Rattus norvegicus: one gene and its partners. Each later gene encodes a partner of the first gene's protein in a complex. Links are inferred from orthologs where the notes say so. Each region holds a gene or a part of one and is shown in the gene's direction. Other genes may lie near its edges.

Region 1 (5,247 bases):
GCCTCCTGAGTGCCAAGATTCTGAGCATGCTCCACCATCATGCCCAGCCCTAGCCTTTGATACCTTGCACATCACTTGCTTTTCCTGAGGTACACACAGAAAAATAAGCAGTGTCCGCTTGGGTCTATACCCATGCCATATGACCAGGAAAATAGAAACTCCTATCCCTTTTGTTTTTTTGAACATTATAGGGTGATCAGAGAAAGGAGACTTAGTCCTTGACTTAAATCAGTCTGCTGTTTAGGAGTGCGGAGTTGCAATAAATCAGACACACGTTACAAAATGTGAGTGGCAGTTTTGTCTACATTTACAATTGATTATGGAATTTCAGACTTGTGTTGAACTTGAGGAGATGATTAGACCACCTACCATACAGATTAACTCAGGGAAGATTATGTTACAGCAGTACTGCTGCAGTAAATGACAAGCTCATGCTGTGAATGAATTTACTACATTGGGTGGGATAGTACAATGGTTTCTTGAGGGAGAGATCTAGATAGCATGGGATATGGGTCCCATTTTTGGTCCATTCAAGTCCCCACTCCACACAATATATTATGGGAGAGTCCTTTTTCTTGAACTGTAGGAGTTCCAGGAAGCGCTCGCCCCTGGCTGAGGATATGTCCTTGCAAAACACGAGCCCTCCTAGTGAAGAGGGGATGTCACCCAAAGCCTACCACCGGTGTGTACATTTGCTTTTTCCCATTGTCCCTTCCAGTTGGCCACTCTTGGTCCTATTAAATTCATTTTGCAAATTAGTCAACATATTTGAGTTCCCATTGTATGATAAGAAGAAAATGTTATTGGGGAATACTAAAAAAGAACAAATCTCTTTTCTGGAAGAACTTAGCTTTTACTTGGGAGAAAGTAATACCTAACACTTGGCAAACAGTGTCAGAGTATAATGTGATCTAACATGAGCCGAGCTCGGAGTGCTGAGACGGTGTGAAAGAACAGTTGGATCAGAGTGGGGTGAGATAGATAATGAGGAGAACTTCCTGGAGGAGGTGAGTTTTAGACAGGATTTGTGGGAAAGGAAGAAGAGCATTACAAACATAGGCAGTAGCACTGGTAAAGATCTTGACATGGGAACATTTATCAGAACATGGGAATGAAATTTGCTTGAATCAGGAAGGAGAATGATGAAGTTGGGTGAATGGTCCACTTGGTGGAATATCTAGAAGACCCTGCTTCTTGCAAGTAGTTTTTGAAAGATTGTCGTATTTCCCTGGGGAAACCACAGGATGCTGGTAGGGGTTGGGATGGTTCTTCCTTTTTCCCCTAGGGAGGGATACAATTCTTTCATTTTGGGTTCCTTTAGGAGGTGTTTGGTGATGACTCTGAGATCTCAAAGGAATCATCAGGGGTAAAGAAGCGGCGAATACCCCGTTTTGAGGAGGTAGAAGAGGAACCAGAGGTGATCCCTGGACCTCCGTCAGAAAGCCCTGGCATGCTAACGAAGCTCCAGGTCAGTTAAAAGAAGCAAAGGGATTTTTGTGAGTTGAAGCACATGGGTTCAGGCCCACAGTGATCGTGATTTGAGTTTGTGTTAACTACTTGGGGGAGTTTTATTTTTTCCTTTATATTTTAGCAGTCTTTGGTTTGATCAGAAGTAACCCAGCTAAGAATTATTGAAATTGGATTTATTGAGCACCTGGTATGATACATCATCATCGGAAAAAGAAAATGAAATGACAGCACTTAGCTTGACTTCAGAGCTTCTTTCTGATTTTGTTAGGACATAACCAGGGTTCATGGAGACATCTCTAAAGAGCCTGCACCATTGCCCATGCACACCTACAGTAGGAATTCAGGGTCCGATAATGTGATTATTAACATTTTTAAAGACAAGGTCTTGCTATTTAGCCCTGGCTGGCCTGCGATTCACAATGTATAAGATCAGGCTGGCCTCAGACACAGAGATCTGCCTGCTCTTGCTTTCCAAGTGCTGAGATTAAAGGCGTGTGCTGTCATGCGTGGCTCATAACCATGATTTTTAAACATACTGTGAATGTTTATGTGCACACAGGAACCTGTGGGAGTTACGTGTCAGATACCCTAGGACTGGTTAGAGATGGTTGTGAGCCACCTCGTGGATGCTAGGACCTGAACTCAGGGCCTGTACAAGAGTGGTTGGTGCTTTAGCTCTGAACCATTTCTATAGTCTCCCTGCCTGCTTTTAACATAGTAGCTTGTTAGGAAGCACGCATGCACTGCTTTCCCCCCTTTTAGATTTGTGAGAAGTTAAGGTATTAATGCCTTATCCAAAGAAATACAGGCAGAAAGTGTGGCGCAGTTCTAGCCTTATACTGTCTGAGTCTCAGTCACTGTAGTGTATGCTACCTAATATACCAGTCCTAACTTGGGGGTGGGGAACGATCAGAAAATTCTGGTGCTTAAGTGTATATCTTCTTGTCTGTGGTATAGATAATATATTTATTGTGGAGACATTCACAAAATTTTGGGTCTCTGGAACTGAATGCCTTTTCATTTAGGACCATGTATGGGGGAAATTAATCTTTTCAACCTTTTCCCTCTGGAGAGCAGATCAAACAGATGATGGAGGCAGCAACGAGACAAATCGAGGAAAGGAAAAAGCAGCTGAGCTTCATCAGCCCCCCTGCACCTCAGGTACTGAAAGACGGGTTAGCACATAGTCTGTTGTCATTCGTCCACTCGAGGGTCCAGCAAGTGCTCCAGCTGTCTGCCATAATCTGCCACGGTGTCTATGTGTGTATCTGTGTTATGCCTGTTTCAAACTCTTGGATTTCTTTTAATCTCTGTCTTATAGCCAAAGACACCTTCTTCTTCCCAACCAGAGCGACTTCCAATTGGCAACACTATTCAGCCCTCCCAGGCCGCTACCTTTATGAATGATGCCATTGAGAAGGCAAGGAAAGCCGCTGAACTACAAGCCCGAATCCAGGCCCAGCTGGCTTTGAAGCCAGGGCTTATTGGCAATGCCAACATGGTGGGCCTAGCTAATCTCCATGCCATGGGCATAGCTCCACCGTGAGTATCCTTCACACAGTCCCTTGTCACTTCTAACATTTTTGGAGTAGTTAATTAAAGGTAATTTACTTACATGTTTCTGTCTTTTTTTCTAAGATTTATTTATTTTATATATGTGAGCACACTGTAACTGTCTTCAGACACACCAGAAGAGGGCATCGGATCCCTTTATGGATGGTTGTGAGCCATCATGTGGTTGCTGGGAATTGAACTCAGGTCCTTTGGAAGAGCAGTCAGTGCTCTTAACCGCTAAGCCACCTCTCCGGCCTGTTAATGACTTATTTTCTCAAAGAACATTAAATAATTTCTTACAGTTTTATATTTTTAATATATGATCTAAATTCAGTTGCATTTATTTTTGGCTTTTGTTGTCTGCTTATAACTGGTAGAAATAAAATAATGTTTTCACTTAATAACAGAGGTAAGAATAGAATCAGATTTCTGGACTTATTACTTAAGAGCTTCAGCCACTAAACAATATTGGTTGAGACTCTATATGTCTGCAACTCTAACTCAGGAGGGAGAAGCAAGAATAGTGAGGTAAATACGAATTTAGACTAGTCTACATAACAAGTCCTAGGCCAGCCAGAACTTCGTAGCAAGACCCTGTCTCCTTTGTGATTGGTCTAGCATCCCAAGACTAAGAACTTGGGTGCAAATGATAGAGTTGTTTCCCATGCATCCCAGTAGTAGAACGTCTGGCTAGTATGCAGGAGGCCTTGGGCTCTCAGTCCCTTGAACCACCACAAAAGGGATGGGGGTGAAGGGGAATAACCTAGAAGATGGCTCAATGGTTAAACCACTGGTTCTTCTTCCAAAGGATTCAGGTTCAATTCCTAGTGTCCACATGGTGGCTCACAATTGTTTGTGACTCCAGTTCTGTAGGACCCAATGCACTTACACAGACTTACATGCAGACAAAACACCAATGCAGGTGAAATAAGAACAAAAAAGGGCAGGTGAGGGTTTGGTGGAAAGGTGGCTAGTAGTTCAGAGTACTTGCTGCTATTCCAGAGGACCAAGGTTTGGTTCTCCGTACTCACAGGTTGGCTATCTTTAAGTCTGGTTCTGGAGGACCTGAAAATAAATTTTGAAAAAGGAGAAGAATTTGGGAATAAAACAAGATTAGATAATGACCAGGTGGTGGCAAGAGCACATGTCTTTAATTTCAGTATTTAGGAGGCAGAGGCAGGGAAGTCAGAGTTTGAGGCCAGTCTGGGCTATATTCCAGGATAGCTAGGGCTACACAAACCCTATCTCGAAAAACCAGGGGGAAAAAAGAACAAATTTTTCTCAATATGATTTTAGAATTAATTTCATTTGATTATACCCTGTTTCCAAATACTTGGTTTGATGTATTTTTTGTGGGAGCCCATGAACTTGAATGTGCTGTACAAATTCTCAAATACTGAGATATATCCTCATCATGGTTTGATGTTTTATTTTATATTAACTCTTAGCTAAAAAACAGAACTAATTTACATTTTTTGCTGTTTTGTTTCAAGATTTATTTTATGCATATGAATATTTTGCCTGCATAGATATCTTTGTAGCTCCTGGGTAGATGGTATCTTCAGAGGTCAGAAAGAGGCCTAGAATTCCCTAGAACTCAAGTTACAGGCAACCGTAAGGCCCAACTGGGGTTGAAAATCAAACCCAGGTCCTTTTCTCAACTGAGCCATCTCTTCTCAGTCCCCCTACTCTGATTTTTTTTTTTTTTTTTTTTTTTTTTTTTTTTTCCGGAGCTGGGGACCGAACCCAGGGCCTTGCGCTTCCTAGGCAAGCGCTCTACCACTGAGCTAAATCCCCAACCCTGATTTTTTTTTTTTTTTTTTTAAGATTTACTGTCTGCAGACACACCAGGAGGCATTGGATCCCATTATAGATGGTTGTGGGTCACCATGTAGTTGCTGGGAATTGAACTCAGGACCTCTGGAAGAGCAGTCAATGCTCTTAACCACTGAGCCAACTCTCCAGCCCTCTGATTTTTTTTTTTTTTTAAATGGAGATTTTACCAAGCCTAAGCACTGATGAGATTGCCTTCCCTAAGGTTAATTTACAATTGTCTTTGATAAGTCTGATTCCTTTTGTTTTCTGTTGGGTTTTCCTTGCTTTGTTGTTCCATGTAGGATTTATTTCTTTGGGGGATGTTTTGTTTTTTCAGGAAAGTCGAGTTAAAAGATCAGACGAAGCCCACCCCACTGATCCTGGATGAGCAAGGCCGCACTGTGGATG
Region 2 (3,960 bases), on another chromosome or scaffold:
TTCTCTTCCCCTTCCTTCCTTACTTCCTTTCTTTCCTTTTTTTAGGATACAATTGCCCCGCCTTTAGATTTATTTAGTAGTGTTCTATGTGCATATATGCCTGCACACCAGAAGAGGGCACCAGATTTTATTATAGATGGTTGTGAGCCACTATGTGGTTGCTGGAAATCATGCTCAGGACCTTTGGAAGAGCAGTCTGCTTTTGTCCTCAGCCGTCCCCCTCCAGCCTGGCAGCTCTTGGTAGTATGGTTGACCAGCGGCGAGCTAAGCTATGGTTATCTATAGTTCCTTGTCATAGACACTTTTTTTTTTCTTTTTCTTTTTTTTCGGAGCTGGGGACCGAACCCAGGGCCTTGCATTTGCCAGGCAAGCACTCTACCACTGAGCTAAATCCCCAACCCCTTGTCATAGACACTTAATCTGCTGATTTATCGTTGGTATAATTTTGGTAAGTTGGAAAATTTATTCTTATTTATTTTTAAGTTATGACCGTTCATGGCGCTTATGGGATTTAGAGGCTCAAGAGGAGATTCTACACCAGGAAGGCCACAGCATGGGTGTGTATGACATTGCCTTCCATCAAGATGGCTCTTTGGCTGGCACTGGGTAAGATTTCCTCCACAAAGCAAGGGAAGGGCAGCTTAGTAGTCTCACCTCTTAGGCAACCCCGCTTTCTTGTCACACTGTATTCCATATGTTCACACAAATGTTGTCTCCTCAGGGGACTGGATGCCTTTGGCCGAGTTTGGGACCTACGCACAGGACGCTGCATTATGTTCCTAGAAGGCCATCTGAAGGAGATCTACGGGATAAGTTTCTCCCCCAATGGGTAAAGCAGACTCAGTGAGTGGGAAGGGTCCAGGTCAGACAGCACTCTATGTTTCTAACTGATGCATCTGATCCACAGCTACCACATTGCCACTGGCAGTGGTGACAACACCTGCAAGGTGTGGGATCTTCGACAGCGACGCTGTGTCTACACCATCCCCGCCCATCAGAACTTAGTGACTGGTGTCAAGTTTGAGCGTAAGCTTTTCTCTTGTTCTCAGCCTTAATATCAGACACCCTTTGCTTCATGAAATACATCCTGGGCAGTAGACATGGACATGGAGCATTGTTAAAGAAGCAAATTTCAGTGTCCTTCCCTCTGCCACACCTTTAGACAGCACTGTGCAGAGCGCACTTGAGGCAGGGAGTTCTGCGAAGGCTCTGTTTCATTTTGTGCTCCATGGGTGGTCAGGCACTAACTAGATGCTTGATGGTACTGAACAAACTGTCCACCAGGGGAAGAGCAGCCACACAGCCTTCATCTGTTACTTGGTTGTCCTCAGTCTCCTCATGACTGTCCCTCATCTTGGAGGCCCCCCTAGGAATGTAGAATGCATGTGGTCGGTCTGTCTGGAAGATCGTTGTCTTTTTCCTAGGCTGTTTCTGAACCCTGGAGTTCCTCACATTTGCTTTATGTCTCCTGCAGCTATCCATGGGGACTTCTTGCTCACGGGTGCCTATGACAACACAGCCAAGATCTGGACCCACCCAGGCTGGTCCCCACTGAAGACTCTGGCTGGGCATGAGGGCAAAGTGATGGGCCTAGACATTTCTTCTGATGGGCAGCTCATAGCCACTTGCTCATATGACAGAACCTTCAAGCTCTGGATGGCAGAGTAGGCAAGACCATGGGAGGACTCTGACCTTGTGTCTCACTAAGGAGCCATCTTCCTCAGAGGAAAAGAATTGTGTTGTGTTCTATCATGTTTCCTGCCAAATACCGTGTGTAGGATTGGATTTTCACGCCAGCCCCACTTCTGAGTAAGCCAGTCCTTAGGCGATAGCAAGCCCTTCGTGGTTAGAACGCAGTTCTCATCTCAGGTTCTGCCGTAAACTATAGACATTATGTAGGTGTCTGCAAAACTTCAACACATTTGAATGGCCTCCCTCAGCACTCAGGATTGTGACTATTCTTTCATTTTTAATTGTTTTTTTATTTGGCATTTTGAGACAGTCTATGTATAGCCCTGACTGTCCTGGAACTTGGTATATGTGTCTGGAAGCTTCACATTGTAAGTGATCCCCCTGCCCCTGCCGTTCAAGTGATGGTGTTACAGAAATGTGCTGTTGTGCCTGGCAGTTGTGTATTTTATGCTTGAACTTGGCTCTCTAGAACACGGCGTGTGCTTGGGACTACGTGTGATTCAGCAAGCAAGATGGCTGAACTGTATGAAATCTCCCCAGTTCCGAGGGCATGTGCCTGGCAGCAGCTCCTTTCCTGCTCCCAAGAATGGGACTGGAGCCATAGACTGCGTCTGTGCGATGGCTCCACTGTAAAGCTGTCCCTCTTTGGTGGCATCCACAGAGGATGTTCACTGCATCAGGAACTCAGAACTGCACACTGGGCCTTGTGAGAGCTCTTCCTTTTGGCTTTGAAGTTTGGCATCCTTCGTGATAAAACAGTCTGGCCATTGTATCCAGATTCAAAGGAGTTTTTTAAAACAAACATGATGTCTGTGTTGTACAACCTCCTTCCTGTTGGTTATTTAATGGGTGTACTTTATGTATTAAAGAACACTTCATGTCAAAGTAACTGGAAAAAATTCTAATTTATGTTTGGGTGTTCCCAAACATAAACTCTTTTGTGTATACACACACATACACACTTGCTGAGAGTAAACTCTTACTATAAAACCTCCAAGCATTATTTTCTATTTCAGCATTTTGTGAGCCTAGCCATTGGTCCAAAGAGATCCCTGTCTTTAGTTTTGAGATCTAGTGTAATTCTAGGCCTGTGAGTTGTTCCAATTCCTATTACTCTATTCAGAACTTTGTAGTGGGTTTGGGGAGAGGGGTGTGGGTTTTTGTGAGACAGGGTTCTGTTACGTAGCCCAGATTGGCCTGAGACTTTAATCCTCCTGCCTCTGCATCTCAGGTTGTTATTGCAGGCATAAGCAATCACATCTAGGCATTCACAGCTTTTTATATAGAGTGGCCTAGAGAGTACGTTACCAGGTGTCTGGGCTTCATAGCTCTTCCTCATCTGTCAGTGGTGTGTGCACCTCACTGCAGGTACACAGCCCCTACACTCCAGAACTGCACAGTAAACCGCACAGCAGTAATTTCAAAGAAGGTTGTGTATCGTGTAAAATTAGCTCTTCTCCAGTATTCGAAACTCCCATCAGTTTCCTGTTCTGCCCTGCTCTTCTGGAGATCATCGATATGTGGTGTATAACAAAACATTTGGGGGATGGGTATTCAAAACAGGGTTAGTCTTGGCTGTTCTAGAACTTGCTGTGGGCTAGCCTCAAACTCAGAGATCTGTCTGCTTCTGCTTCCCAAGTCAAGAGTATGCTCAGCACACCCAGGTAAACATCCGAATCCAGCTATAGCCAAGTATATTCCCTATGTAGCCATTAGGCCACTCAGGCCCACCCTTCATTTGGCACTTAACCACCCTTATCCTACTCTACTACAAACGTACCTTCTTGACTTCTTGTGTTGGTAGAATGAGACTGGCATAGTATTCTGCATTCAGGGTCTGGCACACCACCCGGGTTTTGGTTTCTCTGGTCTAACCCTCACTAGGAACTTAATTTTTGGTTGATCCAAGAGAGCATTTGAGTTGCCTTAAGCAGAGCAAGTGTCGGGAAATAATCCATTTCTTCAACCGCTTTAAGAAAATAGTGGATTCTGAATGGCAGGACCACTGTCACTTAACCCTCCCTAGGTGGTGCGTCAGGCACATTGAGACAGCTCATTCTGTTAAGACTGCTGGATGGAGGGGCTGGGGATTTAGCTCAGTGGTAGAGCGCTTGCCTAGCAAGCACAAGGCACTGGGTTCCCCAGTTCCGAAAAAAGAAAAAAAAAAAAAAAAAGACTGCTGGGTGGACTTAAGAAACTTAAATTACCCAGCTGTAAGCAGTGGAACCATGCGAATCTGTGAAGCAGTTTCACAGTGCTTTATGGAGA
Region 3 (5,247 bases), on another chromosome or scaffold:
GTGTGTGTGTGTGTGTGTGTGTGTGTGTCTTTACTGTCCTATGAGTTTTAATGACCTAAAGGGACATTTGAGGCCACATTACTCAATCCCAATATAATTGCCTATGCATGAAGTGGTTTCTAGAAACAGACTTAAGGAAGGAATGTTCCAGAGAGATGGAACCGTACACCTGAAGGCCAGGAGGAGTGAAATAGCCTTGGGTGCCTGATAGTTGAGAGGATGAAGCAGGAAAGCAGAAAGAGTAATGCTGTAGAGCTGATGAGTCAGTGGATCTCACTGAAGGGACTCCTGAGCTGTGTGCACCAAGGCTGCAGGTGTCGGGAACATGGACCACCATCTGTATGGGAGACCTTGAGTGCGAGTCTGAAGATCTTGCTCTCTAGCCTCAGGGCTTCGGAGAGCTATAGGAAGGTTTAGTTTTAGAGAGGATGAGGTCAAGACGAGGGTAGACTGTAGGAGAAAGATGAGGGGCAGGAATAAGGTTCCTGGGGGAGGATTACAAGCCCTAGTGAATGCTTCAACCCCTTATGTAGCCTCTCAGCCCCTGCTTTCTGATTCCATCCAACCGTAGCCCCAGTCCCTGGCTTTGCCCCTCCTCCATGCACACCCCTTCTTTTTTTGTAGTGATGGGACCGGTGGAGGCAGCCCCTGAGTACCGAGTCATTGTGGATGCCAACAACCTGACTGTGGAGATAGAAAACGAGCTGAGTGAGTGATGGGAAGAACCATGGAGACACCCTTATCCTGTGCTCTTCACTCTTTATGACCCAAAGGGAAGAACAGGCATGAACCTGGCCCTCTTTTGTTTGTCTTTCTTGGGCAAAAATACTCCTGATTAGGTTTGTCTTCTATAACAGACTAACTTACATAAAGAGAAATTGCATTCTCCTCCTCCATAAAAGTCTGAATAAGGAAAGCAAGTCGAATCATCCTTTGACCCCCTTCAGCAGCCAGGCTCTGCACCTGTTCATGCTCTAGGATGATCGCTCACCTCCATATCCTTACCAGAAAATGTGGAGGGAAGATAGGGCATGGTTGTTTCCTTATGGCCATGATCTGGAAGTTGAAAAATGTCACTTTGGTTCATATTTTGTAGACCTTTGTAGAACAAACTTCCCCCTCCACATAGCATTGGGGACAGCTAGGAAATATATATTTCATGCTGGCATCCATGTCCCCACACATGATTTGGGGTTGGTTACTAAAGTGGTGGAAGTGGGTGTTGGGGATAGCAGCAGAGTCTGCCTCCCCCTCAGTGGACACCTACCCTCCATGTCCCATTTAGACATTATCCATAAGTTCATCCGGGATAAATACTCAAAGAGATTCCCTGAGCTAGAATCCTTGGTGCCCAACGCTCTGGATTACATCCGCACAGTCAAGGTGAGTGGAGAGGAGTCTGGCTTGGGAAGAACTGAGGCCACTAGACCAGGAAGCCTCAAGTCTAGAAATAACGGGGCTCAGTGGTGAGAGACAGATACTGGAATGGATGTGTCATACACATCCCTTGCTTCCCTCCTCCCCTTGGTTTTGTGGGAGGATAACCACTGACCTGGCCCTTACTTCTAGCTGCAGTTGGAGCAGGAGTCCTTTGATCTGGCAGAGGCCACAGCTGAATAAGAGCTAAGACCCTGAGTGGGAACAAGTAAGGATGAAGTCAGAAGGGGCAGGGAGGGAAGCTTAGAAAGGTCAGAGAACATTAGACGTAGAAGGTGTTGGCTTCTCTAGAAGTGATGGGAGCAGGTGGAGGTGAAAGAGCAGGGGTCCTGTCTCTGCCCAAGAGATCAGGATGGTGGCAGAAGAAGTCTTGTCTGTGGAAGAAAGTGCACTTTTGAAGGCCTCTTTAGTGCACATGTCTTCCTTGGAGGCTGCTCTGCCTAGGTTCTACTTCTGCATCAGCAGAGCAGAGTAGGCAGCACTGATGCTTTAGGCAGGGATGTTGTAAAACTGTAAAAGGCACGAGAAGTCTCCAGTATATGGACCTTAGCTTTTCCAACTTCCTCAAGGGGAGACCTGTGTTAGTGTTCCTAGAATTTCTTTTTCCCCTTCCTACCCCAGGAACTGGGCAACAGCCTGGATAAGTGTAAGAACAATGAGAATCTCCAGCAGATCCTGACCAATGCTACCATCATGGTTGTTAGTGTTACTGCCTCTACCACCCAGGGGTATGTATGCCATATGGTAAGGTGCAGCAAGCCTACAATAGGACAATTAACAAAAGAGAGAGAGGCAGAATGGGGGTCATGGTCAAGGTGGTGCTGACTGAGAATTATGACCCCTAGGCGGATGGAATTTTAGATAGTCCTAGAGCTACACAAACACACTTGCATACACAGCTGAGAGGGTGGGTGGGACTGAACACTAGTTAGAACTGTACCTAGCAAAACTGGGGTCTGTTCCCAACCCTTACCTGCCCCACAATGCAGGCAGCAGCTGTCAGATGAGGAACTAGAGCGACTAGAGGAGGCCTGTGACATGGCACTGGAGCTGAATGCCTCCAAGCACCGCATCTATGAGTACGTGGAGTCCCGGATGTCGTTCATTGCACCCAACTTGTCCATCATCATTGGAGCTTCCACGGCTGCCAAGATCATGGGTGAGGTCCCAGCTAGGTCCCTTTGGCTGAGGCTGCTGATAGGTTAGGTTGCCTTGGGGAAGTGGGGTTTGGCCTTAGCGCGATTGTATTGTCCCCTGAAGACTGAGATCAGCCAGCTTGGTATGTACACACGATAGAAGCATAGCAACTCCCTTCTAGGTTTAGCTGGCTGGCTGAATCAGGTTGCACAGATGGCAAGCCAACTTCTTCCTGCCAATAGGCCCATTTTAGACCCTGGAGCAGCCACAGAGTACTGATGTCAGCTCAAGCTTTCCTACTGGATAGGGCAGCAAACCCTGCCATGTGCTATGCTCTTTCTCCTGGAAGCTCCTGTAGCAGAGTCCTTTCCTTCCTTGCAGAGAGATGCTTGCAAAGGGAATATGGGAAAACTTACCATCTTTGCTCACTGAGCTTCAGGCTTGAGTCCCACAGGCCAAGATGCATATACTCCTGAGGCTACTGTTTCAGAGCTGGCAAGTCTGAGACCAAGTTGCTGTGAGACTTCTCCAGAGGCCTCTGCTTGGCTGTGTAGCCACACCACTTGTATCTGTATCCTTATCTCCTTTTCTTACAAGAATGCCAGTCAGATAGAGTCAGGATCCATATGACCTCATTTTACCTTAGTCATTTCCTTAAAGATTCTGTGTCCTGAGCTAGAAAGATGACTCAGCTGGTAAAAGAATTTGCTGCCCAGGCTTGACAACCTGAGAACCTGAGTGTGGTGATTCCCCCAAACCCACATACAAGAGGGGAGAGCTAAGTCCCATAAGTTTCTGATCTCCATGCACACACCCTACTTATACATATAAAATAATAAAAATAAAATCCCCCTCCCCACCAGAAAAGATCCCATGTCCTGCTGGATACAGTGACTTATACTAGTAACTGTTATTTGGAAGGCTGAGGCAGGAGGGTTGCTTTGAATTTGAGGCCAGCCTTGGCTACTGAGTGAAATACTTGATATCAAACCAGCCAACAAATGAAGGTGCAAAGTTGTCTTAGTCACTGTTCTCTTGCTGTGAAGACACAGCTGGGGGCTTACTTACACTTTTAGAATCTTAAGCCGTTATTATCATGGCAGGGAGCACAGCAGCAGGCAGGCATAGTGCTGGAGATATAGATGAACCACAAGCAGAGAGAGAGAGACATTGGACCTGGCGTGGACTTTTGAAACCTCAAAGCCCACCCCCAGTGACACACTTGTTTCAACAAGGCCATGCCTTCTGAACCTTCTAATCTATCAATGAGTTTTACTTTGTGGTGACTGTATGAGCCTATGAGGGACATTCTTACTTAATCCACAAAGGTATACATGAGTTCCTGGATGTAAACCCTGTGTTCTGACCTCACCTCTTTTTGCAGGTGTGGCTGGAGGGCTGACCAACCTGTCTAAGATGCCTGCCTGCAACATCATGCTGTTGGGAGCCCAGCGCAAGACACTGTCTGGCTTCTCTTCTACCTCAGTGCTGCCTCACACTGGCTACATCTACCACAGTGACATTGTGCAGTCTCTGCCCCCAGTGAGTACTTCACCTTGACCCCTAGCCCCAGCCACTAGGCCTTATCTGGCTTGGCTGGCAATAGCCCTCAGGCTCCTGGAGGATGAGGCAACATGGTTGGAAGAGCAAGGATACTATTCTGGGTCTGCCACTTGGCAATGAGGATGGTTGGGTGGCTGGAAACCAGGGGCAGCTAGAGCATACCCCTCAAGAGGCAGTTATTAGGAAAGCGCACAGGCATAAGGCCTACCTCCCAGAGTCTGGGGTATGGCTGGCCCTAGATGAGAAGTGATTATTGTAGTGGCTGTTACCTTTGCTAGAGGTTCAGTTTCCTTTCCCCTTCCCATTGCTCTAGGATCTTCGGCGGAAGGCAGCCCGCCTAGTGGCTGCCAAATGTACACTGGCAGCTCGTGTGGACAGTTTCCATGAGAGCACAGAGGGGAAGGTGAGGAGAAGATCTTTTCCTTGTGCTTGGGGTCTTTTCATAGGAAGATGCTACTTCAGAGAGCTGTCCAGACTAGCAGACGGCAGTGTGTGTCTCAACCCCAACTAAGGTCATCACATTCTCAGCTCTGTCTATCAGTTATAGAACAGCTATGACAACTCACTGTAGATGGAGTAACTACATATAAAAGTTTGGTAGACCTGCTAGCTCATATCTTTAACATCAGTACTTGGGAGGCAGAGGCAGAAAGGTCACTAGTTTTCGGCAGTCTGGGTTATATAATAAATTTCAGGCTAGACTGGGCTGCATAGTAAGATCTTGTCTTTGAAAAAGGAAAAAGCACAGAGCCAGAGATGTGACTCCATAACTTAAGTTCCTGCATGCAAGCGTTGAAGACTTGTTCAATTCCTAGTACTCCTGTTAAAAAACAAACAGGCCCAATAGTACATACCACTAACTAACCCCATTGTTGGGAAGATGGAAGAGGGAGGACATTTGGAGCTTGTAGGCCTCTCAACCAAATCAGTAAGCTCCAGATTCAGTGAAGAGACCCTGTCTCAAGAAATAAGGTAAGGAGGTAGTGTAGAAGCCATGTGATACCAAATCTTTGGTGTTTTGTGGGTGCACGCATGTGCACGTACACAGTTTCACTGGACTAACATTAGGTGTTAGACGGGCAGTTCCCATTTGTAGGCTCCTGGGAAGAA

What was found. The genes of interacting proteins can lie anywhere in the genome.
Region 2: Prpf3 (region 1) and Prpf4 share a complex: the UniProt entries of both Homo sapiens proteins name them as parts of the precatalytic spliceosome. The link is inferred for Rattus norvegicus from reciprocal best matches to the Homo sapiens genes PRPF3 and PRPF4.
Region 3: Prpf3 (region 1) and Prpf31 share a complex: the UniProt entries of both Homo sapiens proteins name them as parts of the U4/U6-U5 tri-snRNP complex. The link is inferred for Rattus norvegicus from reciprocal best matches to the Homo sapiens genes PRPF3 and PRPF31.

The regions. Positions count from the first base shown.
Region 1 is NC_086020.1:186,081,350-186,086,596, reverse strand, and holds part of Prpf3 (U4/U6 small nuclear ribonucleoprotein Prp3), read left to right. Parts: intron 1-1,321; coding exon 1,322-1,468; intron 1,469-2,547; coding exon 2,548-2,631; intron 2,632-2,791; coding exon 2,792-3,012; intron 3,013-5,176; coding exon 5,177-5,247. UniProt on the Homo sapiens protein: Plays a role in pre-mRNA splicing as component of the U4/U6-U5 tri-snRNP complex that is involved in spliceosome assembly, and as component of the precatalytic spliceosome (spliceosome B complex).
Region 2 is NC_086023.1:80,886,813-80,890,772, forward strand, and holds the end of Prpf4 (U4/U6 small nuclear ribonucleoprotein Prp4), read left to right. Parts: intron 1-483; coding exon 484-606; intron 607-721; coding exon 722-829; intron 830-907; coding exon 908-1,026; intron 1,027-1,474; coding exon 1,475-1,668; 3' UTR 1,669-2,623; downstream 2,624-3,960. UniProt on the Homo sapiens protein: Plays a role in pre-mRNA splicing as component of the U4/U6-U5 tri-snRNP complex that is involved in spliceosome assembly, and as component of the precatalytic spliceosome (spliceosome B complex).
Region 3 is NC_086019.1:74,495,586-74,500,832, reverse strand, and holds part of Prpf31 (U4/U6 small nuclear ribonucleoprotein Prp31), read left to right. Parts: intron 1-624; coding exon 625-708; intron 709-1,285; coding exon 1,286-1,383; intron 1,384-2,058; coding exon 2,059-2,165; intron 2,166-2,426; coding exon 2,427-2,596; intron 2,597-3,958; coding exon 3,959-4,116; intron 4,117-4,450; coding exon 4,451-4,540; intron 4,541-5,247. UniProt on the Homo sapiens protein: Involved in pre-mRNA splicing as component of the spliceosome. Required for the assembly of the U4/U5/U6 tri-snRNP complex, one of the building blocks of the spliceosome.